4 linked regions of the Astyanax mexicanus genome follow. The main gene of each other region encodes a partner of the protein of the gene in region 3 in a complex. Links are inferred from orthologs where the notes say so. Each region holds a gene or a part of one and is shown on either strand. Other genes may lie near its edges.

The links.
Region 1: ccnc (region 3) and med31 share a complex: the UniProt entries of both Homo sapiens proteins name them as parts of the mediator complex. The link is inferred for Astyanax mexicanus from reciprocal best matches to the Homo sapiens genes CCNC and MED31.
Region 2: ccnc (region 3) and med20 share a complex: the UniProt entries of both Homo sapiens proteins name them as parts of the mediator complex. The link is inferred for Astyanax mexicanus from reciprocal best matches to the Homo sapiens genes CCNC and MED20.
Region 4: the proteins of ccnc (region 3) and med12 are in contact, whole or in part, in a cryo-EM structure (PDB 8TQC), measured with the Homo sapiens proteins. The link is inferred for Astyanax mexicanus from reciprocal best matches to the Homo sapiens genes CCNC and MED12. Residues at the interface, in NP_005181.2 of Homo sapiens: Gly3, Asn4, Phe5, Trp6, Gln7, Tyr11, Ile15, Asp17, Gln19, Asp20, Lys23, Gln49, Glu53, Leu57, Arg58, Gln59, Ile62, Tyr153, Arg157, Pro158, Gln161, Tyr162, Asp165, Leu173, Pro174, Trp177, Arg178, Ile179, Asn181, Asp182; in NP_005111.2 of Homo sapiens: Ile6, Leu7, Ser8, Tyr9, Glu10, Pro13, Leu14, Lys15, Arg18, Leu19, Pro22, Asp23, Val24, Tyr25, Asn47, Pro49, Ala50, Val51, Asp54, Glu55, His56, Gly57, Ser58, Ala59, Lys60, Phe64, Pro66, Ile69, Asn72, Phe73.

Annotation. Positions count from the first base shown.
Region 1 is NC_064424.1:13,288,082-13,295,398, forward strand, and holds the start of med31 (mediator of RNA polymerase II transcription subunit 31), read right to left. Parts: upstream 3,015-7,317; 5' UTR 2,851-3,014; coding exon 2,829-2,850; intron 1,965-2,828; coding exon 1,890-1,964; intron 1-1,889. Other genes in the region: slc13a5a (solute carrier family 13 member 5a), read right to left, coding at 6,377-6,502. UniProt on the Homo sapiens protein: Component of the Mediator complex, a coactivator involved in the regulated transcription of nearly all RNA polymerase II-dependent genes.
Region 2 is NC_064431.1:31,841,678-31,849,647, reverse strand, and holds the start of med20 (mediator of RNA polymerase II transcription subunit 20), read right to left. Parts: upstream 3,001-7,970; 5' UTR 2,894-3,000; intron 2,777-2,893; 5' UTR 2,720-2,776; coding exon 2,706-2,719; intron 1,243-2,705; coding exon 1,097-1,242; intron 1-1,096. Other genes in the region: bysl (bystin), read left to right, coding at 3,931-4,192, 5,514-5,670, 6,809-6,947, 7,659-7,792. UniProt on the Homo sapiens protein: Component of the Mediator complex, a coactivator involved in the regulated transcription of nearly all RNA polymerase II-dependent genes.
Region 3 is NC_064409.1:30,314,782-30,322,098, forward strand, and holds the start of ccnc (cyclin-C), read right to left. Parts: upstream 3,012-7,317; 5' UTR 2,866-3,011; coding exon 2,834-2,865; intron 1,195-2,833; coding exon 1,088-1,194; intron 895-1,087; coding exon 810-894; intron 1-809. Other genes in the region: ngs (notochord granular surface), read left to right, coding at 6,036-6,229, 6,672-6,831, 6,925-7,074, 7,179-7,298. UniProt on the Homo sapiens protein: Component of the Mediator complex, a coactivator involved in regulated gene transcription of nearly all RNA polymerase II-dependent genes.
Region 4 is NC_064409.1:69,523,058-69,530,116, reverse strand, and holds the start of med12 (mediator of RNA polymerase II transcription subunit 12), read right to left. Parts: upstream 3,024-7,059; 5' UTR 2,910-3,023; coding exon 2,811-2,909; intron 1-2,810. UniProt on the Homo sapiens protein: Component of the Mediator complex, a coactivator involved in the regulated transcription of nearly all RNA polymerase II-dependent genes.

The sequences.
Region 1 (7,317 bases), on a different chromosome or scaffold from region 3:
TTTCACGGTATACCGTGGTATTAAAATGCACGGTTATCATACCGTGTGTGTTTGCTTATTACCGGTAAAACGCAAGCCAGCGGAGAAACTCACCCGCGCATGCGCAACTCTGCTCCGCTTCAGCTACTCAGCACACAGCGGTGAGAATGGCAGAAAGTGCATCAGACTAGAGCTTAGATTCTCTTAGATTCTCTGCCCGAACCAGACCTGGGCCGATATTTCCCACCACATTCCTCAGGCTGGGTCGGGTTGGGCTCCAGAAAATAGTCTGAGATGTAGGCATCTGTTTTTTAATCATATATTTTATTTTTAAATAAAGCTCTGGTGTGATAATCACAATGTTGCTAAGTAACCAATTAATATTGTTAATGAAAACGAACCAAATAATGAAAACTGAAAGTGAAACTTAACTAACTTATTTATAAGCGCTGTTTTCACTCCCGCAGTTCTACAGCGGGAGGTGTTGTGCCGATTCTGTCCGCGAAGCGGGAGTCGGATTCAGCAGGGAGTCGGATTCGGCATAACAGCGGCAGCGCGGCGGCACCTCGCGGTCCGCGGTGTTAGTTGTTAGCGCTCGCGCTAGCCGCAAAATACGACAGAAAACACTGAGAAACTGCAGAATTATGTATGGGACTAAAATATGAGCACGAGGAGATCAAAGAGAACCTTTACCTGTGAGTAGCTCATACAAGAACACGCAAATCTCTCTCTCTCTCTTGTGTCTCTCTCTCTCTCTCTCTCTCTCTCTGTGTCTCTCTCTCGCACGTGAACTTCTCCGCACTGTGTTTAGCTGTTCTTAAAAATCATTTTAATTAAATAATAGTTCTATGCTTCTATGTTAGTGTTAATTAACATAATTCTGATCATATTTCGCTCATTCAAACAGCCCGAAAACAGACTTGTAATCTTGTAATCAACAAGCTTGTAATCAATGTGGCCGTAAAGTCACAGCTAAAGGAGGAAATACACCTGTTCTCCCATCTCCGAGAACACCACCCCGCTGTGCAGCGCAAAGTATGTGTTTAGTTTATAATTTTAATCTGAACCTAAATAAAACCTCTTTGTAGTCGTGCACAACCCATGCGGTAAGCGCCCGCAAAAGCGCTGAGTTATCCGAAATTTGGGCACGCAGGTACAGGCGTGAAGTGCGTGCTACGATGGATTCACGTGTCCGTGTAAAGGTCCTGGCCGGACTGGATGTGAAAGACGCCATTCATTTACATGCGTTCATTTTCAAATTCTGACGTGACTGTTTTTCATATGTTGAAGGTTTTAAGGTGTGAAAGCCTTAAAATAGAAATATCTAATGTGAGGATCATGTCAGATATAAATCCCCTCTTTCTGCAGTATCTGGTTATATACCAACTTTTTTTATATATACACTGCCCTGGTTTCTTTCACCTGATGATGTAGTTTATACAATAAATAGTTAATTGAACAAAAAACCTTTGTTGTCATTTCTTTAAGGGTCAGTTTAATAATATATGTAACAAACTGTGATACCGTGATAACCGTTATCCCGCGGTATTTTCTGAGACGGTTATCATACCGTGAAAATCTCATACCGTTGCAACCCTAACTGCATCACAGAGATCTTTACCACTACACTGCCTTCTGAGACAGTGTGAGCAGTAAAGAAACAAGTAAGCTTTCCTGCCATCCCCTAATTTAAGACTCCAGGGAGTTCTATTCTACTGGCAATCATTTTCTACAGGAATTGTACTGTAGCTCCATAAGTGTGTGTATTTATTAGGATTTCAACATCCTAATGTGTGCAACTTATAGTACTTTAATGCATTAATTAAAAGGGTGTCCACAAACTATAGCTAAACCCATTACTAAAGCAAGTACCTTCAATAAAAATAGACATTAACAGAAATGTAACTTACAGTTAAGATAATTTGGGTTGGCCAGACATTGAACAAACTCCAGTTCTGACTGAAAGCGGTTTCTTGCTTGCTCCTCTGTATGGAAAGAAAGAGTTTAGAGAACGTTATCATGAATATTGATAACAGTGACCAGCTAGCTATCAGACTTTCAAAATATTCTTACAGAAAACATTAAAACCTGTGAGGTTCTATTCCCCAGTCTGTCAACTTAAAATGTTAGTGTTGATTATTTGTAAATGTGTAACTGCCATGGTGTACACAAAGTGCTGGGGGGGAAAAGCACTGTGGGTAAGGGCACTTAATTTACAGTCAGCTCGGTCTAATCGGCTAATCAAATGTATCAAATACCTAAAAAATTGCTAGTTGCAGCCTTATAAGATATACTTGCCATCAAAGTTAAACTGAATTGATCTGATTTTTTTGCACCAGGAGTGGCACAAGGTTACCCAAAAGCAGTGTGTAAGACTAGTGGAGTAGAATATGCCAAGATGCATGAAAACTTTAATTAAATACCAGCGTTATTCCACCAAATATAGATTTCTGAACTCTTAACACTTTATAGGTGTGAACTTGTTTTCTTCGCATTATTTGAGGTCTGAAAGCTCTGCATCTTTTTTGTTATTTCAGCCATTTCAAATTTTCTGCAAATAAATGCTCTAAATGGCAATATTTATATTTACAATTTGGGAGAAATGTTGTCCGTAGTGTATAGAATAAAACAACAATGTTAAATTTTACTTAAACATATAAGTTACCTATAAATAGCAAAATCAGAGAAACTGACTCAGAAACTGTAGTGGTCTCTTAAATATTTCCAGAGCTGTATATATAAACTTAAGCCACTGAGGGTTAAAGGCAAAATAAGCAAGCTAAGGCTAGGTAGCTAAAGCTAACCGAGCTAAATAAAGAAGTTGCTGCTGGAAAAGCTGTTATACAAACCTGTTTCCAGGACTCCAGCCATCTCACACAGACAAACTAAAACAACAACGACTTAACTAAACCGCTTAAATGCGAATAACAGCTACAAACAAACCGGATTTACTGAAATAATAATATAATTATGCGCTGAAAGCCGTTTTGTGTTGTCTAGCCCAGCGCCATATTCCTCCTACGTAAGTTCCGGGAAGGAACGTGATGACGGTATGGTCAGAGCCAGAGCCCGCCCACTCACACTATACCCCCTTTATATCTGTATATCACTGAGAACCGCTAGAGGGAGCCCTTAAGGGAGTCCTCAATGAATGGGGGTTAATGAAGCTAAACAGCTAAAACTCAAATTAAAAATAGTAATTAACTATTTATCTGTGATATTCATTTCATTTTATAAAGAATAATAAATTATTGTAATAAAACAGCAGATACAATTTACCTTTATATTTTAGTTTTTCTTCAAGAAATGTTTTTTACTGCTACTCTGAGCTGATTGGTTGGTGAGCTGATGCTGGAGATACAGTTCAAAATGAGAACGCGTACAAAATGTTTATAATTAAAGCTTAAAAGCTTTAATCTCGAGTCTGATAAGTTCAGAGTTGCACACATAGCCTTTTTTATAGCCTCTGTATTAGTAATCCTAAAAAATGCTCCCCGGTGCACACTGTTTCCTAAAAGGTATTTTATTGGTAGACAACATGTTGCCTGAAGACGCAAGTAACTCAAAACCGCTAGCATTGGGCTGTAGACGTCTTGGCAGCTACAGCACTAGCTTCATTAGTGCTCCAAGTGTCCTTTTGTGCATCTCCATGTACTCCAAATATGTTCTTCTGGATCTGCAAGTGTCATTTTATAGTGACTTCTATTGAAAGTTAAGAGCATTTTTTCTCATGTAAAGTTGGTGTTTTGAAGTGTTTCTACCATCACAGGGATGATGTATAAAACAGATTAGTTAACTGAAACATATAGTTTATAAATGGTTGGATTCTCCACTGTTACACTGATGTATTTAAGAGTGTAAGAGAGCTTGGGTAATGTAAAACTCTCCACATTAGCAGTGTTGCTTGTTGCTGGAAAAGCACCAAACAGTATCAACACGTTACAGCATAAATAGATGAAAAGAGTATTTATTACTGAATATGAAATGGCACGCCATGCGTAAAAGCGCATCCTGTGCATAAAAGCACGTACCGTGCGTAAAAACGCGTTCCGTGCATAAAAGCACGTACCGTGCGTAAAAACGCATTCCGTGCGTAAAAACGCGTCCTGTGCATAAAAGCACGTACCGTGCGTAAAAACGCGTCCTGTGCGTAAAAACGCGTCCTGTGCGTAAAAGCGCATTCCATGCGTAAAAGCACGCATTCCGTGCGTAAAAACGCGTCCTGTGCGTAAAAGTGCATTCTGTGCGTAAAAACGCGTCCTGTGCGTAAAAGCGCATTCCATGAGTAAAAGCACGCATTCCGTGCGTAAAAACGCGCCCTGTGCATAAAAGTGCATTCTGTGCGTAAAAGCACACATTCCGTGCGTAAAAACGCATTCCGCGCGTAAAAACGCGTCCTGTGCGTAAAAGCGCATCCCGTGCGTAAAGCGCATTTCATGCGTAAAAGCGTGTTACGTGCGTAAAAGCGCATTCCGTGCGTAAAAGTGCATTCCATGCGTAAAAGCACGCCCCGTGCGTAAAAGCGCGCACCTTGCCTAATTAAATTCTTAAAGTTATAGAGAAAAATAAACATAGTCTATAGTATAAACTTATATTATCTGTAATGTACATGTATTCACCTGGACCCTGACTTAAAACAAAAACATGTTCTAGTAGTGTTACAAAAATCATGTTTATTATATGTTTAAAGTAAGTCCTTGATTTATTCTACTCATACTTGAATGAAACGTATCTGTTTCAAACAAAAAAAAAATCTGTTGGCATATTCTAAAATATGACCAGTAGAGGGCAGCACCGCCGTGACTGGTACTGTAGCTCTACACAGTGATTATAATAAAGAATATATTATTAAATAAACTTGAATTGCTGTAACATACAATTGTTTTTATTTCTGTCATACAAAAATCTTCTCACTTTTTGACAATTTTAATTTAACAGGTGTTTTATATACAACCCCAAATCAGAAACACTTGGAACAGTACGGAAAATGCAAATAATAAAAAAACAAAACAAAATTGTCTTACATTTACTTTTGTTTAATTGCAGACAATGTGCACTCAATATTTTTCATGATTTAACTGGTTAACATCAATTAATTTATTAATATACATCCATTCCTGCAACACGTTCCTACCTTGTCATGTTGCCATTTCTTTTTCTAGTCACTGATGATAACAAGCTATAAAATTGTTTCAGGTGTTATTTTGTCCTATACTTCCTGCAGACACGTCTTACAATGTGCAACAACAGTATGGAGTCTTTGTCATTTTTCTTTTTTGTTTTAGATTCGTGTAATGTGTGCAGCATGTAGTTTTGGTCGTGCCTTGAAAAAATGTTGTTTTAAAGGTTGCACTAAGAACTTAGCGTACTTTTCTGCATTAATGCTGCATCACAAAAATGCACTGACACAACCCCATACTGTGATAGACCATGACTTTTGGATTTGATAATGATAATAGTCTGATTGATTCTTTTCATTTTTGAATCAGAGCTCACAGCAACCATTTCTTCCAATAAATATGTGGATTACTGACTTATTTGACCACAAAACATGATTCCACTGTGTGATGATCCACCTGTTGTGATTCTGCATTGAATAGTAAATTTCTGCGTGTCATTTGTGAATGTAAACATTACTGTAAAGTAATCTCTTGTCTACATGGTTCTATCAGCTATTGTTGAATGACGGTTTTTGATGCTGGGCTGTTTGAGGGTTTGATACAGAATTGTTCCAAAATGTACTTCATATAAAAACGTCTTACATTGAATTCCACTGTAGATCTTTTGTTTCTCTGTCTGCATAAGATTTAAAATAAGAACACAGGAAGACACAAAAAATATTAAACTTTTTTAATATTACAAACATTCCATCACATTTGATTTAATATAAGTCGAGACTACCATGTGAAACATATTCAAATTTATATGTAACGTCACATGGCCAAAGGCTGTAATATAAAGAGCCGTCCTGAGCTGTCCTATCTAATCAAAACAAACAGTATTCATATATATTTATGCATATACATGTTTAAAGATAAATAGAAAAATATTTTATTGTATACAAATATGATTCTCAGTCTCACCGGTTTCCATGAGTATCCTTCATAAGGTTTTATGTAATAAATGAAATGTAAAAAATTATTGCCATCACCATCATATTTATATAAGGTAGTTGCTGTACACAGATTATATATTACATCTGTACTGATAAAGTATGTGTATGACACACTGTCACAGTGTATAAGAGCAGGTAAGGATGTGCTGGCTCCTCCAGTGACACCCGTCAGAGGTGTGATGAAGGCGCCACCCTCAGCTTCTTAGCTTTAAGTGCAGTCGAGGGGGCTGCTGTTGGTGTGTGAGTAATCTGTTGTGCTGGCTGTGTGCTGTGTCCAGTCTCTCACACCCCTGTGGTGTTAGCCCAACTGGGAAAGGAGTCCAAGCCAAACAGAGGTCTGCCCCAACTGTTTATCGCCAGGGTGATGCACAGGATACCAATGATGTTCATCACAATACCTGTCCTGGCCTGAGGAGGGAAACGCAGTTTAATACCACATTTATAAAAGATCAAATGTATCAAAAGTAAAAAGATCAAGAGTAAAAATACACTGGCAGTCAAAAATAATAACCCCCAAAAATTGTAAAATAGCAAAAACAGAAACAAAGAGGCAACAATGGCAAAAAAAAGAGTTGTCTTCTTATGCTGATGGCTGTTTTTTAAATTAGTCGCAATAAACTGCTTTACACATTTGCTTTATTGCAGTCAACACACTTCCTATAGTGTCTGGATCAGATTATATTCCCAAATGAAGGATTACAGCAGATCTTTGCGAGACTCCTCTGTCACAGGATACTGAAGTTCCTTGCGAGAAGCATTGGCATGGTTGCAGACATGCATTAAAGCCACTGTTAAACCCAGCTCCAAAACATTTAACTCCACTATCCCTTTCGAGAGTACATTAACCCAGTACAGCGAGTATTAACATAGCAACTCAGCAGAGCTAACAAACACCACTAACCACATAAACTAACAAGAAATACTGACCACATTTAAAGGAATTTTTATTGTAAAGCCCTATCCAGACGGGATAAGTTTCTCAGGGGCATGTCTGTGAAAAATATTTTACACTTCTACTCAGTGATAAAACTCCTGCATCCGGACTGCAATTGAAAAAACAGGAGGACCAGTGAGTTTTTTTTGGCTTTCTCGGTCATGTGACATTGCGTTCAGTAGCTCCTCCGTTTGCACTCACTGTTGTGTTTAGGTGGATCACCATGGAAATGCGCACCCAAATGTAATCACGGTACATAGCAGTAGACAAATAGCTATGTTATTAAACA
Region 2 (7,970 bases), on a different chromosome or scaffold from region 3:
ACATACACACACACACACGTTATATATATAATTATGTGTTACATATATCATTATTTGCCTGTAAGCAGGGGCTCTTCAAATGATGAAAAACAACAAGCTAAAGCCTTAGTCTTTCCTTTTTCATTTAACAATCTTTACTGAAATTCACTTTTTTATTTTACTAAGTGCAGTAGAAGGGAAAAGGGAAATACTGGACAAAATGAGCAGTGAATAACTCTATTTAAATGTTAAGTGTGAAATGTGAACATCATGTTTCACTTCACCCCAAGTCCATTTCAAACCAGATTTCTCCTTTAACTTTACTCAAAATGTGGCCTCGTTGTCAAATCAATGGTAAAATACGAAAAAATGTACACATATTTTGCCACTGATTTTGTATCACAAGGTCACATTTTGTGAAAGTTAAATAGAGTTATTTCTTACTCATTTTGCCCGGTATTTTTCCTACGGCCCCTAAAGTGCCGCATGGCACTGAAGACTGAAGGGATTTAACCTCAATCTTGGTCAAATTGAGGTAACATTTAGTTTTAGTGTAGTAAAACATGATAAAGAGTACTAACCTTAGTTGAATAGGCCACCTCCGCTCTCCTGCAGCTTTCCTTGATCCAGTAATTTTGTGCTTTTTCCCAGCACTCTTTATAACGTGCGCTTCAGGGCATCCATTGCCCCTGCAGATAAATAAGTTTTACACCGTTATCCAGCTCAAAGTAGCTCCACACCTCATTGTTAGACTCCGGAGAGCCCTGACATTTAAAACGAGGCATTTAGAAATTTAAAAAGTGCACAGGAAGCTTCGGGCTTAGGTTTTTAACAAGATTCTTGTGCATTTTTAAAGCTCTTAATGCCTTGTTTTAAACGTTAGAGCTCTTCAGATTCTAGCAATGAGATGTGGAGCTACTTTGAGCTGGATAACGGTGTTAAAAGCAAATTACCAGTCGGTAAGTGGATGCCCCAAAGCAGCCGTTGTGAAGAGTGCTGGGCAAAAAGCACAAAATTAATGTATCTCAGAAAGCTATGGGAGAGTGGAGGTAGGCTATTCAACAAAGGGTTAGTACTTTTTATGTTTATGGTGGTATTTTATATACAGTGTATTTACCGCTGGCGTTCCCTGTGGTGTGATACGTCTCACAGTCCACAAAGAAGCTGCCCTGCTTCACTCCTCCCAGCTGCTCCAGCTTCTTATGCAGCTGATCCACCGTCTGCTGCACACTCTTCCCCTCCGCCACCGGCACCTGACACACACTACAGCGCATACACACACACACACTGGAATACAGGTATGCTACTGTACAAAGTATAAAAAGTAGTCCTGCTCTATTGCACACTACTTATTACATAATTAAAAAGCTGAGAAATAATCAGGGACACTAGGGAACTAGTTAAACTTACTTATTTCAGTGCATTTTAAGTAGGGGTGTATTTATTTAAGTAGGGGAGTATATATATATATATATATATATATATATATATATATATATATATATATATATATATATATATATATATATATATATATATATATATATATCTCCAGATGATCCAGATGATATATATCTCCAGATGATCCAGAACGCAGCAGCACGTCTGGTCTTCAACCAGCCAAAACGGGCACATGTCACCCCGCTGCTCATTGAGCTCCATTGGCTACCAGTTGATGCTCGCATCAAATTCAAAGCTCTTACAATCGCCTACAAGGCGGTGACAGAACAGGCTCCTTCCTACCTGCACTCGCTCCTGAAGGCTTACGCTACCTCCCGGCCGCTGCGCTCCTCCAGTGAACGTCGCCTCGCTTTGCCAAAAACTCACACAAAGCAATCCAGACTGTTCTCATACAGAGTTCCCCAATGGTGGAACAAACTACCTTCCACTACCAGATCAGGAGAATCTCTCGCTATCTTTAAGAAACTCCTGAAGACAGAGCTCTTCAAAGAGCACTTACTCTCCTAACACCTCTAACTAACTACCTTCCACTACCAGATCAGGAGAATCTCTCACTATCTTTAATAAACTCCTGAAGACAGAGCTCTTCAAAGAGCACTTACTCTCTTAACACCTCTAACACACTAACTACTTCTAACCTCATTTCCTTCTTCCTCTCCTTCACTCCTCTATCCTATTATTCCCCTGTGTCCTCCTTTTATCCCTATCCAAAGATGTTTTACCTTGAAACTTATTTTACATTGTACTTGACTATTGTAAGTCGCTTTGGACAAAAGCGTCTGCCAAATGTAATGTAATGTAATATATATATTTTAGTAATTTCAAAAATATACACAGTTCTGTAAAAAATAAGAGACCACTTTATGATGATGATTTTCTTTGATTTTAGCAAATTGAAAACCTCTGGAATATAATCAAGAGGAAGATGGATGATCACAAACCATCAAACCACCAAACTGAACTTGCTTGAATTTTCGCACCAGGAGTAAAGGCAAAAAGTTATCCAAAAGCAGTGTGTAAGACTGGTGGAGGAGAACATGATGCCAAGATGCATGAAAACTGTGATTAAAAACAGGGTTATTCCACCAAATATTGGTTCATGAACAGCAGTTTTTGGTTTAGATCACAAAGGCAGCATAAAGAGAAAAACCCTGATCTACAGAAAATCTCCACATGTCAGTTACAAATATATTAATACTCTTTATATCTCGGGAAACCAGTAAAAATCGCCAAACTGAACTCTTTTATTCATTTATTCTTCTTACCAGGTAACTCCCATCTCTGCACAGCGCGGCCACAACAGCTTCAAAACACCCAGCCAGACTTCATCCGGATACTGACAAAATAAAAGTCTTTCTAAAGTCGTCTAATGTCAACTTTTACAATTTTAAATTTCATATACATGCATCAATATATACAACAAAATGTTTTCGCACATTAAAACTATTATTACCTGGAGAAATTAAATAAACGTCGATATTTAAAAGGAGGTGCTGCATACTAATCTGTATTCCAACTCAATCTGCACTCACTGGTTTCCGGTCACACCGCCTGATTAGAATGACCTTTTTTTGGAAAAGTTTATTAACATTTTATAAAGACAAACATTAACACAACATAAAACAAAAAGGAAAGACAAGATACTTTTGTAAATGTAAATATACATGATCAAGAAAACATATAATTCTGTTTAGTTTTTAATCTAATATTTGTATTGGCGAATATGATCTTTTTAGTCTTTCCTCGAAAAAAAAACATGTATATTATAAAAAAAATAGTTAACGACTAACAATTGGTCTGTAAAAATGGAAATAATAATAAATACATTATTAAAAAGAGAAAAATATCTAAATGCACGCTATGTAGCAAATAAAATCATTTATGTAATATAATTGTGTATATGTCATTCTAAAGTCGTCTAATGTCAATTTTATACACGCATTAATATATACAACAAACTAAAATTGCACACTAAAATTATTATTAAAATTATTAATTTGAAAAAAAATAATAATAATAAATCTCAGCCTGTCCTTAAATAGTACAAAATATAATTATGACTTAAATGGTATAAAAGTGATCAAAAACTGAAAAAAATTATATAATATTAATATAGTAAAAAAAAAAAAAAACATACATTATGTATTAACTATTTAAAAGAAAAAAATTATAAATGCACGTTATGTAGTAAATAAAATGATTGATGTGGTTAGCTAATAAAGCTGTGTAAATTTCATTTTAATACAGCATGAGACCCTATATGTTACCAAAAGAATTAAGATTTGTAAAAAAAAAAAATCGCTTTTACATCAGGCACATCTAACCAGCCACCGAAGGGTCCTACGGGTGCAGTTTTCGGCGTTGTCAGTTTTCGGCAGAGCACCCCCTGCGTTACCTCACCTCCATTAGCGTTGAGGGAAACCCACGTGTGTGCGACAGAGGGTTTTGGTAGAACTTAAAACTCCATTTATATCTGAGCAGTCTGTCGCCATGCCGAAGGTAAAGAGGGATAAAGGTGGTGGACCGGACCGGGCCGGAGGTTCTGTAGCCCTGGCCGATCAGCTGCTTCAGTCCGACACCATCAGAACCAACAGCCGGGTCAAAAACCGGGGCAGAAAACAGGAGGAGGAGGACTATGTGGACGAGAAGCTCTCCAGGAGGATTCTGGAGCAGGCTCGGATTCAGCAAGAAGAGCTGCAGACTGAGTTCGGAGTCACACCAGAGGCCAAGAAGAAACCTTCTACTGTTCTGGGCAAGTTAAATAAACGTGTATACATTAATATTATCACATGATAGACCACCACCAGAGACAGCAGTGCTGCTTGAGTTTTTAAACACCTCAGTGTCACTGCTGGATTAAGAATAACAAAAAAATAAACTGTGCAGCAACAAATTCAGATATTTTGTCTCTAATTTTACATTATCTGTAAGGTGGAGCAGCTGTAGGGCTGCAACTAATGATTATTTTAATATTTAACTAATCTTCTGAATATTTTTCAGATTATTCGATTAGTCAATGATTATTTCTGCCTTCCCCTCTGCTTGCTGTTGGTAGAGCTTCTGTTTCTAGCTTTCACTATTGGTTCAAAACGATAGAAAACAGCTAAACATGGGATTTAAATGCCCTTTACATATCCAGAACATTGTCTTTTGAATATGGAAGGTGCTGATCTTTAGTGAGGAAATGTGAAATCTGTTGTGATTGGGCTCTTTTGGAGACCCAGTTACCCTTCTAACATTGTGTTTGTCCCCAGTAATTTGTGTAGTGCTACTAATTGACGATTAGTCGACATCGAAAATTTGGAGCCGACAAATTTTTAAAAATCGTCATTGTCAATGATATTGACTAATCGTTGCAGCCCTAATCAGCTGTAGGTAGGAGTGTGTAATAGAGTGGAGGATAGTGAGAGATTAAACACGGTGTTTAAAACCATCAGCAGCACTACTGTATCTGATCAACTTACTGTACCAGCTCAGCACACACTAACACCTCATACACCACCACCATGCTAATCAGTGCTATTACTGCGAGTAACCACCCACCACACAAGCTAAGTGCTCTGTTGTGGTCACCTTAAATTCAGTGTTATTTTTTTCTTTTCATTATTTCAAAAATGTTCCCCAATGTAATTTAATAATAAAGTCTTCCAAACTGTGCAGAAAAACACAAAAGTGTTAAACAAACCAGAATATGTTTTATATATTTTACATTCTTCAAAGTATCTCCTCTTGCTTTGATGACAGCTCTACACATCTTGGAAAATAACTTTAATTTCTTGCCGTCTTCAAGTGATTCTAGTAGATATATAATGTAAAATGAGAACAGTGTGAATTTTTCTTTTGCTAAAAACAGCAAAAAAAAAAAGTAGTACCCTAATGTGATAATTAGTGGTGAGTGATATGGTACAATATTTCAGGGTATAATATCGTTAACTGTATTTGAAAATGTTGGCAATATTATTGCCTGTGATATGATATGGCCCTAGTTGTAAAGTTATAAATCTGATTATTTTATGTTATTGAAATCATTATAGATTGCTGTTATCATTATTAACAGTATGTGTTGTTTGCAGGTCCACATACTCAGGATGGAGACTCTGATGAGGAATGGCCAGAGCTGGGTGCCATGGGAACAGAGGATCATGAGGTGGGGGCGGTTGCTGAGGTGGAGGTGGATCCGGATGATGAAAAAGCCATACAGATGTTCATGAACAAAAACCCACCAGTGAGGTAAAGAACACCTGGACAACAAGGGTAACAGTGCAAGGTGGCTGCTCCACTATAGGGCAGTGTGGCTCTTCTTATTAATAATGTACTCTTGCTCTTTCTTTCCTGGGGCAGTCCTGTTGAGTACTAGTTTCATCATATCGCTTTGATGTGCGGCTGCGCTAAAGGATACTTTCAAAGTTCTTGAAATTTTTTAGATTGACTTAATTTCTTAGTCATAAAGTATTTTTTCTTTTTACTTAGTTGAGTATTTCTTGCTTCTCATAATCTGGATTAGAACAGTACTCAAATAGAGTTATTCACTGTATACCTGTAACTCTACCTCTTCACTACTTTACAACTGATGCTCTCAAACACATTAAGAGACAAGAAATTCAAGTAGTTGCAAACAAAAAAGATGCAATTATATCTCTGATCAATATTTAGTCCCATCCCTATGCCACACCACACAATATAAAGCATAGGCACGCGTATCCTTATGGATGTTGGAAAAAACATCATACTTTTTGGTTGTTTCCATGCAAATATATTGTTGCAACAAGCACAACAAAAATCATTCTCTCTAATTAAACATATTATTAGTTTATCTTATTTTTACTTAATGTATTTAACTTTTTTTTCAACATGGCACTGTGCTGGTATATATATTTTTCCAAACATATTCACTTGAAAGATAAATAACATAATGTTTAGTGAAAGTATTTAGTGCACTTTTATTTGCACTGATGTTTATACAGGTTCTGTTCTGTTTACAACACAGTGCTGTCATTTCCTTTTAATCCCCCCATCACTATTGCACTATTGTCTTGTGTCTCTTGTCTCGTGTATGTCTCTCTGTGTCCATGTCGTATTGTACGTTTAGTGTCTTTCATTTTTATATTTATATATTTTTTTATCTTGCTGTAATTTTTGGGAAGGAGAGTAACGTAATTTCAATCCTCTAAAAGTCCTGTACATATGCAAAACTATTTGATTTGAATTGATCTTATTTTTACTTTATGTATTTGGATTTGTTTAAATATAGGACTGTATTTTGCTGGTATATATTTGTTTGAACATGTTCACAAACTTCATTTTAAAGAGAAATATCAATGTTTATAGTAAAAATTATTTTTAATGTATTTATTTTTTTTTTGTAAAGGCGCACTCTAGCCGATATAATCATGGAGAAGTTAACAGAGAAGCAGACGGAGGTGGGCACTGTGATGTCGGAGGTGTCGGGGATGCCCAATCCACAGCTGGACCCCAGGGTGATTGAAGTGTACAGAGGAGTCAGTAAGGTGAGACTGAGCAACACCTACCTTTTGCATCCACCTACTGGCCAATTTATTAGAAACACCTACTTTTGTGCCTCCACTCATTGGCCATTTTATTAGAAACCCCAGTTTTGTGCCTACATTCTTTTGCCACTTTATTGGCAACCCCTTTTTTGTGCTTTCTCTCATTGACCACTTAATCAGAAACACCTATTTTCCACTTTATTAGACACACCTACCTTGTGCTGCTTCTATCTGGCCACTTTACTAGAGATTTTTTTTTATGAGCTTCAGGATAAATTAATTAAGTTTATTACTCTTGTAATACATACTAGGTCTGCATGATATGGGGGTAAAAACCTGACATTGTGAAATTTTGTTGTACAATATTTGTTGCAATGAGTATCAGGAATTTTATCCAAATTTCAGTGTCAGTGAATTAAGTCAATAATCTAAAATGCCATAATATTAATAGTACAATATGTGTATCAGTGATTGGAGTCAAAAAATGGTATTGGGTAGATGTAATTGTTAATATAGTGGATATAGTCACGTAAAATTTGATTTTTCTTTGTATCAAGCAGCGAAAAGCTTTTAGGAAAATTGCATGTACTATGGTGTGATTTAATGAGCTTGTATATAAAATGATATTTTGTGCAGCTCTAAAACATGCTGTATTTCAGTTTATTTTGATCACTGATTTATCTATGATCGATATTTGTTCTTTTGTTTCAGGTTCTTTGTAGGTATCGCAGTGGGAAGCTGCCCAAAGCCTTTAAAATCATCCCAGCGCTCTCAAACTGGGAGCAGGTGCTTTACCTCACAGATCCGGAGAAGTGGACGGCTGCCGCCATGTACCAGGCCACACGGTGAGTTAATTTAGAAGCAGCCTGGTTCACAATTTCATATACATATATGCTCACTGAGAAACAAGATAACGCACCCCAGGATGCTGCAGAGGCAGATATGCAAAAATTCAAGCAGTTCAGCTTGGTTTGATGGCTTGTGATCGTCCATCTTCCTCTTGATTATAATTGGTAAAATCAA
Region 3 (7,317 bases):
AAAAAAGGGTTACAGAACTATTGAATTTTTTTTTAATGATTCTAAAATTATTTTAAAACATTTCTTCCAAATTGAGCAACAGTAAGGACAGGAGCGCTATCAAAGACCAGACACCACATATTTTGCAACTCAACTGACATTAATATGTCACACCAATACGCACACCAAGAGTAGATTTTTGCCTTGCTAATGAGATTATATCATCTAATCTGTAATCATGTAAAAAGTAAAACAAGGTACAAGTTGTTATTGCCCTGAGAAAGGTACATTTGATCCATTTAGATAGATCTACAACTTGCACACTGATCTTTCTTGACATTTTGGATAGTAACGTGTAATGGCAGCTTTTATTACTTAAAGTGTTTTCAGGAGATGTGTTCACATATTATAAGTCCAGGAAGTTTTGGATACTCACTGCAGTTTACTGTCTTCACATGCTGGCATACATATAAACAGAAACATATAGGAACTAGTCCTTTATATACAGTTTTGCCTGTGCTTGGTGCAGTTTCCTTGGGCAGGGATGGTTTGTTCTTGTCCTTGGTGAAATTCATGCCAAAACAATCAACTATACAAACCAAATACAGGTTTTTATTAAAAAAAAAAAAAAAAAAAAAAAAAAAAAAAAACCTTATATGCACATATAAAATGTTATTCACCACATTCTGTGATTTAACTTAAAGGCGTATATAAAAACACTATTTTCTTTCCTTACAATAGGTTTTTTTGTTGTTATTGTTGCAGTACTTTTATTTTTCAGCATGGAATTACTCAAGAATGTGTACATGTAATTGTGGGGATGGTCTCACCTTGCATAAAAGCGTTTAAAGTACACAGTTGCGGTGGCGATGACCTGCTGCCTAAGTTTCAAGTGTTCCCCTAAGGCCTGGATCACTGACAGAAAACAAGGCTTTTTCAACATATATCTCAGTTCAGACACCATCATTATTTAGACAGGGCTAACAAAATCTACAAAAGTAGGTTTAACACAGTTTGAGAGAAAAGGGGATGGATAATATAAAAAGCTTGCTGGTTCTGAGAAAAAAATAAATAAAAAAATATATTTCAACAATACATTGTTCTATACCATTTGCAAAAAATATCTGCAGCTTCCAGTACTCCTCCTCTGTGAGAAACTTCAGGTCTTTCTGACGTTCTTTCAACAGGTCCTGCTTATCCAGCACCCACTGTAAGCTAATAACAAAGACAAAATTATACTTTTAATCAGTAATGTACAACATTAAAAACAATTTAAGTATTTCCAGAACACCAGACTGCTACTAGTCTTAGTGCTACATTCCTTTCTCAGAATGATTAATCAAAGAAACCAATATTGAATGAGCAACAGAAAACGACAGAAACAACTTAGATATTGAATGTATGGCAAGCAGAAAATTTAGGGCTAAATTTATGTACTGCAAACCTGGAATTAGTATTTCCAAGTAGGCCTGTTTTGTTTAAGCCCGGGAACACAAGACTCCCCTGTTATTATTGATTGAAAGTAACCTGTTTAAGTCATATTTTTACAAATACAGCATGGTTTTACATTATGACAACGTATTTATTCTGGTTTATTTTATTGTAACTCTAACTGTGTCCCGTATTGTCTACATAGCACCCTTAAAACTTAGGATAACTAATTGCTGTGAGAAACTGAAGTGTAAGCTTATATGCAGGGTCTATCAGGGTAAACAAAGGTGAAACAATCTGCCTTCCACTACCAGATCAGGAGAATCTCTCGCTATCTTTAATAAACTCCTGAAGCCAGAGCTCTATAAAGAGCACTTACTCTCCTAACACCTCTACTACACTAACTACTAGAACTAGAACTATTAGAAATAAAAAAAAAATAAATTCTAATCATTAATTTTTAGTGCATGCATTAAATGTTTTAAAATCATCTGGTGTACCACCCCAAAATGCTTTGCAGTTTAAAAAAACACGACATTAGAGGCTTAAGGATATTTATTCTACTGATGATACAAAGAAGTCCCATCATCCCAAATCTCCCAATCCACATTCATAGTGAAAATAATTCTGTTTGAAGTGCATATGTCCTTATGCTGTGCTTCCATTTCATTTTATAACATATCAGTTTTGAATGTTGTTATTATTATGAATGTTTTCTGTACAGTATACATATACATAGTACGAAATCTTTAGCATCTGTAAATCTGTAAAATAGCAATCTGCAAAATAAAAAGAAGATAAGAAATTGAGCACCACGATTTAAAACGCCCACTGTCTAATGGCATACTTTAATGTTTTCTTTCTTCAATATGTGTTAGTTAACTAGGTTCCTACCAATTAGCCCAAAATAACACGAAATTACAGAAAAGTTACTGCAAGTGTCCTGAATGATAACATTAACCGACAGCAAGACGAGCGCAGGCTCAACACATTGCCTTTATTCTACAGCTTTTCTATTCTATCAGCTGTCCTCACTGCTGTCTCTTAATGAAGGGAGTTACAGGCTCAGACAGTAACTAAACACACAGCTATAGTAAAGCTAACCACACTGGCTAGCTAATGCTAACTGCTTTTGCTAACTACCGTTAGCTAGAGTTAGCTCACTGAAAAACACAGCAGGAATCAGCTTTCTGTTCAATTAACAACGATTTTGGATTGGGCTGCCCACTCTTATTTACAGGCTGCACACTTTTATACATATTTTTATACATATTGCAGACATATTAATATCTAAAAACACATAAAACAAAGCTTAGAACACATTAGTGCCGTTAGCATTAGCCGCTTAGCTATTTTAGCTAGCGACGTGAAACACAGAACAGAAACAACAATAAAGAAAATAAGAAAAGCCTAAAACACCTACTAGTGTGAACTCTGCCAGAAGTTTCCAGCCATTGTGCTCGAGCTGAAGTAGGAAATATGATCTTAACTGAATTTAAACCGGTTGAATCGCCAGTTTTCAAGTGTCTACTAAAACCAGTGGAGCAACTGAAAATCAACCCCCCTTTCTCCTGCGTCCGCCGAGATACAGTCCGGCCAGAAACAACAAGGTCTTAATCCTGGTTCCGGAAAACCTGCTTAAGAGGAGTAGAGCACATAGTGCTTTACTAGTGACTGTTCCTTAGATATCCTGGTAGTTACTGGTTTTAAACCAAGGACCAGCTTTTTAAAGTAAAAGTATAAGAGAACATGTTAATGTTTTCATAAGCAAAAACAATCTAATTTACATTGATCCTCTACCTAAGCCTGTGTATTCCCAACCAAAGCTTTTCATAGACTATATAAAGGATTCTGTTGGTTTTTTAAAGACAGAAAGGCATTAAAATAATTTTAGATGTTTGTTGGAAAAAAAATACAGAATTAACATAAACTTGGATTAAGCACACCATTAATTATGCTGATGTAGCCTTTATAGAATTGATAGAAAATCTAAAGGAGGTGGTGTAGCTGTGGGAATCTCCAAACTAAATGATAAATTGTGGTTTCAAAAGAAAAATGGTATAAATTGCTATCACAGTGATATTTGAGAAGTGAAATTAACCCTCTCATGCATGAATTATAATAAACTCAGTCAGGATTTTTCTAAGTGTTTTTATACATCCTTAGGGATGTAAAACAAGGTTTGAAAAAAATATATATTCTATCTTTATTCGATAAAGAAATATTTATCTGTCCACTCAAGTGTACTTCATGCATTTTTTGTTGTAAAAAAAACACAAATGTAATTCAGTTATACAGTTGTAATATGGTATTCTGTTGGAATAGTGGAACTGAGGAGGATATTGTGACACAAGAAAATGTCTCTGAACTGTAGAACCTTATAGAATCTTGATTGTGACTGGTATTATCATACTGTATTCTTGTCAAGTCTCTGGACTGTTAAGTGAGCATATTCTCTTATAGTAGTTTATAGCATGTATCATATTTCCTGTCAAATCATGCTTGTTGCTAATTTCTGAGACTATTTTCTATGATGGTTGCCAAAGCATACAGGGCACAAAGCTACAAGACACTGCATGCAGATGTACTTGGTTCTTCGTGTGCTGGCATTTTATACTCTCTTGAGCTGGGGCCAGTGGTTTCCAGGGGCATACTGGATATTGGGGTGCCCTTAGTTTCAACAGCCTCATCTCCTTCATCTCCGTTCCTCAGCCTCAACTCCCTCAGTAACATTTCCAGACTCACCTTCACTATCACTGCTTGACCCTACTTCTCTGCTTGCAACTGTCTGTACTGGCAGACATTCCTCAATTAAAGAAGTTGATTTACAGCCAAAACATTAAACAATATGAATTATTTTAAAAACAACACTGGAAGTAATTGACATTGCATAAAAGTTGAAAAATAGCTAATGATGCATGATGTACAATTAAGTGGACAGATGATTAATCTACAATTCCCTCAAATATAAAATCAAAATTTCGAAAATCTTTACATAATATGTCACCTTAGATGTTACTTGATGTAATTATATATTTTTTACCTGCAGTGATATAATTTTATAAAAGGTAGAAACAAAAATAGCCAAGGTGTTTGGTGGTTTTCCCTGTCTGCCGGCCATCTTGATTTCATTGACTTCTTTTTCCCATTACAATGACCAACCAATGGGATTTTTTTTGTATAGGATGATGCAATAGCTTCCACTACAGTGGACTATATGCAGCAGTGCCCAAAATTGCAAGCATATTTAAAGAAAAAACAATTTTAAACAGCTGTACACTGTAGTGATCTCTATGCATGAAAGGGTTAAGTTTAAAGGAATTACAGAAAGTGTGCAAAATGTTTTAAACAAAATTAGGCAGGTGCAAAAATTTGGGCACCCCAACAAAAAAAAATAAATCAATATTTAGTACCTTTTGCAAAAATAACAGCCTCTAAATGCTTCCTATAGCTTCTAATGAAAGTCTGGCTTCTGATTGAAGGTATTTTTGCATTTTGGATCTCTTTACAAAACATCTCCAGTTCAGTCATGTTTGATGGTTTCAGAGCATAAACAGCCCGCTTTAAATCAAACCACAGATTTTCAATAATATTTAGGTCTGGGGATTGTGATGGTCATTCCAAAACTATGCACTTGTTACTCTGCATGAATGCTTTACTTGATGTTGAGCAGTGTTTAAGGTCGTTGTCTTGTTAAAGTATCCAGCCCTGACGCACCTTCAACTTTGTCACGGATTCTTAAACATTGTTCTTAAGAATCTGCTGATATTGACTGAAATCCATGCAACCCTTAACTTTAACAATATCTGCACTGGCCACACAGTCCCAAAGCATGATGAACCGCCAACAAATTTTACTGTGGGTAGCAAGTTTTTGTGTTCTTTTTCCGCCATGCATACCACTCTCCAAATAACTCAATTTAGTTTCATCAGTCCATAGCACCTTATACCAACCTTATACCAACAATTTGCTTTAGCATACCTGAAGTGACTCTGTTTGTGGCGTGTGCTCAGAAAAGGCTTCTTCTGCATTACTCTCCCATACAGCCTCTCCTTGTGCAAAGTGCGCTAAATAATTAAACGATGCACAGTGACACAATCTGCAGTAAGATGATGTTGTAGGTATTTGGAGCTGGTCTGTGGGATGACTATGACTGTTCTCACCATCCTTCTCCACTGCTTATCTGAGATTTTTCTTGGCCTGCCACTTTGGGCCTTAACTAGAACTGATCCTATTGGCTTCCACTTCCTCACTATGTGAGATAGCTTTATGCTTTATGCAAGGCAAGAGCTGATTTGATTAACCATCCTAAGCAGTTTAGATAGCCAGGCTGTCTTTTATCAGCAGGGGTATTTAGTGTATATGAAAAACAGAAGAGGGGTTCTGATAGTAGGTACTGCGTGTGAACAGTTCAGGGTGTAATAGTGTTCACTTCTCTATTTTTGCCACTGGAGGTTCTTGTCAGCTGGCTGTGAGATGTTTGGGGTCTTCTGCATGATCTCAGACTGAGGTTCAACATTCCATGGTGGGCTGGGTCCATCAGAGGGTCTGTATATAAACCCCAGTATTGATGAGAAGCTGCAGTGCTGCTTTAGTCTTGTAGAAGAATCCCTGCTGGTCTCAGTATGAGCAGAAGCCCAGAGAGAATGTCCTCCTACCGCCGCCACTTTGAGGGCGCGCTGGCCTCATCTTCCTCCTGCCACATCCGAGTCTCCAGCCCGTCTCCAGTGCGCCGCGAGACTCGGCGCTCCGCCAGCTACAGCCGTGCACGCACCAGCCGACGTGCACTTTCTGGTACACGCACTCCACGCATGACCAGGTAAAGTTGTTTGGTATTTTACAGTTCAATACTTTTTATATTTTCTATCCGGTTAACCCTGACCGCAATTGTTTAAATATAAACTCACATTCAACTACAAAACTCCTCCATAGGAATGCATTGAAATTTGTGCGTTTGCTTTTAACCAAAAATATGACTTCTCTAAAGAGTAAACACCAAATTTGTCTCAATAAAATAACTAATAGCAAAGTTTTATGCTTTATGAAAGAATCAGATAAAAGAGTTCATTGTATTGTGCATTGTTTCCTCATAAGAATTAATGACAGAATGTTTAGCACTTTCACACACCAGTTTAGAACATGCACAGACCTTTTTCTCTCTATTCCTCTCCAGTACTCTCTGTGTATGTAAGAGCTTTTGGGCCAGTAATTCCCCCTTGCTATGCTGAATTTGTCTTGTGTGTACTCTTTTTTTTTTTCAGCAGTGTAAGTATGGGCGCTCTGTGTGTTGGCATGGGTCTTGGATCAGGTCTAGATCTGGAAGCTGCGGCTGCTGCCAACCAGGCCTTCCTGAGCACACGTACAATTGAGAGACAGGAGATGGTCACCCTCAATGACCGCCTGGCTGTGTACATAGAGAAGGTACAACACAAATGCTGTCTTTCATTTTATTTTGACATATAAGACATTTTCAGTGAAACAACAAGAACTGATATAGGTTTACTTGGTTTAAAGGTCCGTTCTCTGGAGCAACAGAATAAATTGCTGGAGACTGAAATTGACACATTGAAGGGCCGTTTTGTGAAGCCTTCAGGCCTGCGCATGATGTATGAAGACCAGCTGCGAGAGCTGAGAAGGATTGCTGATCAGATGAAGGTTCAGAGGGTGAGAGAGCGAAATTTTAATGTTTAAATCTTGACTTTAAACCTTAAGTTCTTAAGTACACCAAAGGAATGTACCTATCCTAATTCAGTATTATCCTTTTTAAGGACCTTGCCATTGCTGCCAAGCAAGCCATGGCAGGGCAACTGGAAATGATAAAGGTCAAATACGAGGAGGCTCTGGAATCCAGAAAACGAGTTGAACTGGAGATTGAATCTTTCAAGCCGGTATTAGGCTTTACTTTTT
Region 4 (7,059 bases), about 39 Mb from region 3:
TCAAACTCTGGTCCTTTGGTCTGGACTGTGGTTCGCAGCCCCTTTCACATCTGCTTTCAAACCAAACTGAAAACTCTGGAACAAACAAGGTAAGCATGAAAGACTCTCAGGATGGTCTTCCAGACTCCAATCCAGACCACCTACAGATCTTAAAACGTTTTGTCGTATAAAACATGTATAATGGGTCTAAAATGTCTTGGTATTTATGCAGTTTTTAGGGAGCTATTCCTAACCACTTCCACATTTGGTCTTCATTCTGTCGTTTTAAACGTGAATCTCTGAGAAGCCACTTCATAGGAATATTAAATTGCAAAAGGAGCTTTACAAAAAAAAATATTTGACTTTCAGAGTGACACCACAGTCACACTTAAGATTGTGAGGGTATACAATTATTCAAGATGCATACCAACAGACCACTGTCATGTATTTCCAAAAAATAAGCATATTTAACACAGTATTTGCATTCAGAAGCCCTTAAATTTAGTAGTACTGCATGAACAAACATACTGTGTGTCAAATAATAGTAATAATACCAGTAGTGTAGTATAGCACAGTAGGCAAAAAGGTAGTCAGGTAGCCACAACTTGTCAACAAACACATTAGTCATACACACAATTAGACAAACTAACCTAAAATGTCTATAGTGTCTTTCATGTTCGATAATGATTTTAGATGGGTATTTATTACCAATGCATAGACCTATCTGATCACACAAGTCAATTTAATATGACATGTCAAAACTGTTCAGTGTTCAATAAATATTTTTGAAACAACATTTTATTTGATCATGTTTCCATTATGTTCAGTTACATGCAAAATAAATAATTTCGCAGCATTCCTAGTGTTTATGCATCTTGAAGGGAGTTGTTCATTACCACTGCTCATTTTGGGTTGTTTACTCTGGATAACACATTTAAAATATTGTTTGTCAACATCTGAATCTCAGTAAATAAAATAGACTTAACTATTAACTTAATGGATGCACTAAAGCATCAACACACCACCAGCATGAATGCATGTTCAAAAGTTTTGCACATTTAACCCTCAGCACGCAGCACAATGCCAGATAAGAAGTACTGCATAACTACACAAATGGTTTGAAATAATAAATGTAATATAACCTATATAATTATCCAGTTAGTCAAGAAGCTAGTTAGATACATGATCACACAGACACTTCAAAGCTGCACACCAACAGACCACCAGCACATATCTCCAAAAAAACAGAAACTGAACAAGATCAAACTTGACTTGGTGAGAGCAACACCTCTGACACTTAACAATCACAATCTGTTAACAAGTATTACATTAAGGAAAAAATGACAATAAAAAAATACATAGAATTAAAAAGAGTTCAGTTAAAAAAAATGTAAAATTTAAAAATAAAACTAAAAATAATAAATGTTATAACACTTATGCTTTATAGGTTTCTTTTCTTTCACTTCTTTTTTCCTAAATCTAAATCTCTGTTGCTCTGTGCACATTAGTTAGGCTATAAGACCGGTAAAGGAATCAAATGGACTTGACTTTTAATGTGATAATCAGACCCATTCAATCTGCACACCAATAGAACACTGGCAAAGATCTCCAAAAATGGAAACTCAACCCAACATTTAGGCTCAGCAGCAAAGTGCCGAATTTGAAGTATTGAATAAATAAACAAATAAAAACTTACTGAGATCAAATTGCATTTGTTGGTATTCCTGCTGGGATTGTATAACTGTATTTTGTTGTATATTTCTAAACTGTAGTGAGTTATTACTTTGGATTATTTTGGATTATATGATATATATATAACGCTATGTTTATTTTCTGTATTGTTTCTTAGCTAGCTACATCTCCATCTCTGTAAAATGGCACAATAGGCTTTAAGAATACGAGATATAGGAATGAATTGGACATGATTTTAATGTGATAATCAGACACATTAAAGATGGTCTCCTAGAGATTCAAGCTGCACCAATAAAATGCAAACTTGTCTAGGTTAACCAAACATTTAGGCTTAGCAGCACAGTGCCAAATTAGAAGCACTGGATATAGTGAAGACAAACGGAAACTTAACGAGACCAACTTGCATTTTTTGGTGTTCCTGCTGGAATGTTATATTACCACTGCACACTCTGCGTGCTAACTTTGGATTATATGATTTATATAACGTTGTGTTTACGGTTGTTTTCGATATAAAAACATAATATAAGCATGTTAGCTTAGCTTTGTGTAAATTAGATCAATTATGTTAGATAGCCAGTGAGCAAGTTACTGTTAGCTAGCTGTTAGCTAACCTAGATACGACTTGTCAACAAACAGCAGCCGACAGATTTCAGCTAACGAGCTAACCCAGATAGCTCAGCCAGCGTTAACTGACACAGAATTAAATTTCGTTTTTAACGTCAATTTCCTAATAATTTTAAGCACTTTAGCCGTTTCTGAAACACCCAAATCTCCTTATATTAATCTCTTTTCCTCGGTATTTTATTTGGATGGGGGTTGAGTAGGAAAACGCTCAGGATTGCAGTAAGTTAGCAGCTCTGTTTCTGAGCAGTTTATTATTGTCCAGTTCGTGTTTTTATTTATATAAAGTGAACACAGCGCTGCTACACAGGCAGGGCTATATCTCAGCCTGCTGCCGGGCTCTGTGGCGGACCGGGCGGGTCGGGTTTAGCCCGGTTAGGCCGGTATTGTTGCGGGTTAGCGGGCGCTGCTGAAGGCCCGGGGGTTTGGTGGTGCTCGGTTAGCTAGGTTAGCGTAGCTCTCCGGCTAGCGCTCCGGCTCTTTGTGGACTGACTCTGTGTGTAAAGACGGGCTCTGACCTCTTTCTGCTTCGGGTCCTGGGGATAAACGTCGGGAGGGCCGAGTCTGGGTCGCTTCAGGGGCCGGTGCTCGTAACTCAACATCCCGAAGGCCGCCATGGTCCCAGCCGCATAGCAGCCCGGGCCGAGTCCGTCCGTCCCCGATCCGACCGAGCGATACCCGACAGCGGCTTACAGCCAGCGACGCTCCGCTCCCTGCCCCGCTCCAATCAACAGCCAGCGGAACTGTGGGAAAACACCCGGCAAATTAAAAGACCCTGATATGGATTTAAATCGGAAGGTTTAAAAGCCGGGTGTTGTGTCGAGTTATGCTATCCATAGATATGTGCTTTTTTTACGGACATTTTTCATTTTTTTTGTAATGTAATTCATTACGTTTTTATTGGGAGTATTAAACAACTTGATTTAATGTTTTAAAACTTTTAATAGCAGTAAAAAAATATTAACGGTAAGTAAAAAAATAATCATAAGCTATAAAACAAAAAAATAGGGTTCTAATCACGTAAATTACTTTATTTTTTAACCCTGCCTGATACAGTGATTTAGCCTACCACGTCTATCCTACCTATCAGCTATCCTACCTATCTATCCTACCTATCAGCTGGGAGTATTCTCTAGTATGGTTTAATTTGGTGCTTTTTTTTACCTTAAATACTACTATGGTAGCAAGGTTTGACAAGGTAGCACAACTCGACAGAACACCACAAAAATAGTTTACTAGTATACCTATAGTAAACTATAGTACCAGTCAAAAGTCTTTCTTTCTTTTTTTGTAATTTTCTACATTGTAAATGTAACCCTTTCAGACCCTGCGTCCATTACAAAGATATCTTATATTACAAAAGATATATATTTTTTAAAGATATATCATGTTTTGTTGCACAGTTTTTGAACCACGGTAAAGTTAGTTTCATTTTTGATATTCGACTTTTCGGCTCTAATAACTTCTGAACGGAGGATGGTAGCCAGCAGATACTTACATAATCAGGACAGTACGACCACAGAGAGTGACGCACACCCTTCCTTTTACTGTTTGGGTGAAATTTGCGCAACGCCCTTTTAGCGTTAATACCGAAAAACTAAGCGCACTTTTCCTGTCAGAATAAAATGCATGTACTTCTAGACCACCTCTACTTCTGTACACACTCATTTATTTACCTCCAAATCACTTCAGTGCATAAAAATGCCTATTAATGTTCCCACATAAGAATAGATGGCTTTAAGAAAAAAAAAAACACCAATAGCTCCATATCCTTAGGGTTCATACACATCAGAATAACGGGGATGTATACTTTGAGTCATGAGGAAAATTGCACACCCATTAATATTATGCAAAATGCTCAAAATTTTTATTATATTTTATATATTCACAAATTCAATAGCATTTCAGCAACTGTGTATGTCACAGCTAGGTGGCAGCAGACACGCACATCATTTATATTTTGGATACAGTGCCAATTCTAGTGAATATTACATTTTATATATTTAAAAAATCAATAGAATTTAAACCGAATTACACAGAACACTAAAAATAAGTATGATACAGCTAGGTGTCAGGAAACACACGCAATCTTTGAAATTTGGATACATTGCCAATTCTACTAATTATTAAATTATATACATTTTAAAATGTAATAGCTTTCAAACCGAATTACACAGAACAATAAAAACAAGTGTGTATGATAGAGTTAGGTGGCAACAAACACACACATGCTTTATATTTATGATACACTGCCAATTCTACGAATTATTAAATTTTATATATTTTAAAATGTAGTAGCTTTCAAACCGAATCACACAGAATAATAAAAACAAGTGTGTATGATACAGCTAGGTGGCAGCAGACACACACACCATTTATATTTTGGATACAGTGCCAATTCTAGTGAATATCACATTTTATATATTTAAAAAATCAATAGAATTTAAACCGAATTACACAGAACACTAAAAATAAGTGTGTATGATAGAGTTAGGTGGCAACAAACACACATGCTTTATATTTATGATACAGTGCCAATTCTACATATTATTAAATTATATATATATTTTAAAATTCAATAGCTTTTAAACTCAATTACACAGAATAATAAAAACAAGTGTGTATGCTACAGCTAGCTGTATCATACACACTAGTTTTATTGTTCTGTGTGATTTGGTGTAAAGCTATTGAATTTTAAAATATATAAAATTTAATAATTAATAGAATTGGCAATGTATCCAAATTTTAAAGAGTGTGTGTGTGTTTGTTTCCACCTAGCTGTATCATACACACTTGTTTTTATTGTTCTGTGTAATTCGGTTTGAAAGCTATTGCATTTTAAAATATATAAAATTTAATAATTAATAGAATTGGCAATGTATCCAAATTTTAAAGTGTGTGTGTGTGTTTGTTGCCACCTAGCTGTATCATACACACTAGTTTTTATTGTTCTGTGTGATTTGGTGTAAAAGCTATTGAATTTTAAAATATATAAAATGTAATATTCACTAGAATTGGCACTGTATCCAAAATATAAATGGTGTGTGTGTCTGCTGCCACCTAGCTGTATCATACACACTTGTTTTTATTATTCTGTGTGATTTGGTTTGAAAGCTACTACATTTTAAAATATATAAAATTTAATCATTCGTAGAATTGGCAGTGTATCATAAATATAAAGCGTGTGTGTGTTTGTTGCCACCTAGCTGTATCATACACACTTGTTTTTATTGTTCTGTGTAATTCGGTTTGAAAGCTATTACATTTTAAAATGTATATAATTTAATAATTAGTAGAATTGGCAATGTATCCAAATTTCAAAGATTGTTTGTGTTTCCTGACACCTAGCTGTATCATACACACTTATTTTTAGTGTTCTGTGTAATTCGGTTTAAATTCTATTGATTTTTCAAATATATAAAATGTAATATTCACTAGAATTGGCACTGTATCCAAAATATAAATGGTGTGCGTGTCTGCTGCCACCTAGCTGTGACATACACAGTTGCTGAAATGCTATTGAATTTGTGAATATATAAAATATAATAAAAAATTAGAGCATTTTGCATAATATTAATGGGTGTGCAATTTTCCTCATGACTCAAAGTATACATCCCCGTTATTCTGATGTGTATGAACCCTAAGGATATGGAGCTATTGGTGTTTTTTTTTCTTAAAGCCATCTATTCTTATGTGGGAACATTAATAGGCATTTTTATGCACTGAAGTGATTTGGAGGTAAATAAATGAGTGTGTACAGAAGTAGAGGTGGTCTAGAAGTACATGCATTTTATTCTGACAGGAAAAGTGCGCTTAGTTTTTCGGTATTAACGCTAAAAGGGCGTTGCGCAAATTTCACCCAAACAGTAAAAGGAAGGGTGTGCGTCACTCTCTGTGGTCGTACTGTCCTGATTATGTAAGTATCTGCTGGCTACCATCCTCCGTTCAGAAGTTATTAGAGCCGAAAAGTCGAATATCAAAAATGAAACTAACTTTACCGTGGTAGTTTACCTTAGCTCCGCCCACTGCACTGGAAAACACAGCAACAAAAGACATTAGGGCATCAAAACAGTTCACTGCAAGAGTAAAGTCTAATATTAGGAGAATAAAGTCGTAATAATTTGAGAATAAAGTCGTAATACGGCAGCATTAGAGCCGACAACTTTTGTTCTCAACATATCAAATTCAGGTGGTCATTTTATCCATGGAAAAATGTACTGAAATGTATAAAATTGTCTCCAGCAAGGGGTATGATACATTTGTAAAGCAGTTCCTATTCCCTTACTTCAGCTGGTTCAAAATAGTATTAAATCCTTCCCTGTTGCACCTTCCTTTTCTACTATAAAGGTTGGTGATATCAACCTTTTGGATTAAAAAAAATACTAATTAGACTAATAAGTAAGTTGTTTAAACAATGTATTTTTGATGACTTTAACTCATGCTATTCACGGGAGAATATATGAAACGACAAGCTTTTTGTTTTTATTCATCATGTCCTATTACTCCCAAAGCTAAAATTGTAACAGCAGTGTACCCAGTTAATGACCTAATATATATATTCAAATTTCAGATGAGCCCCTGCACTATTTTCTCTGGAGAGAGATAATCAATAGAACATTTATTTGTTAAATGTTATTATAGTAAGCTTTTTTGGTCTGACATCTGTAATTGGTTGTAAATTAAAAATACAGATATACCTAATTTTATTTATAATGACAAGTTATCATATGTGCAACTTAAATAGAGACATTTCAAATTAAGTTAATC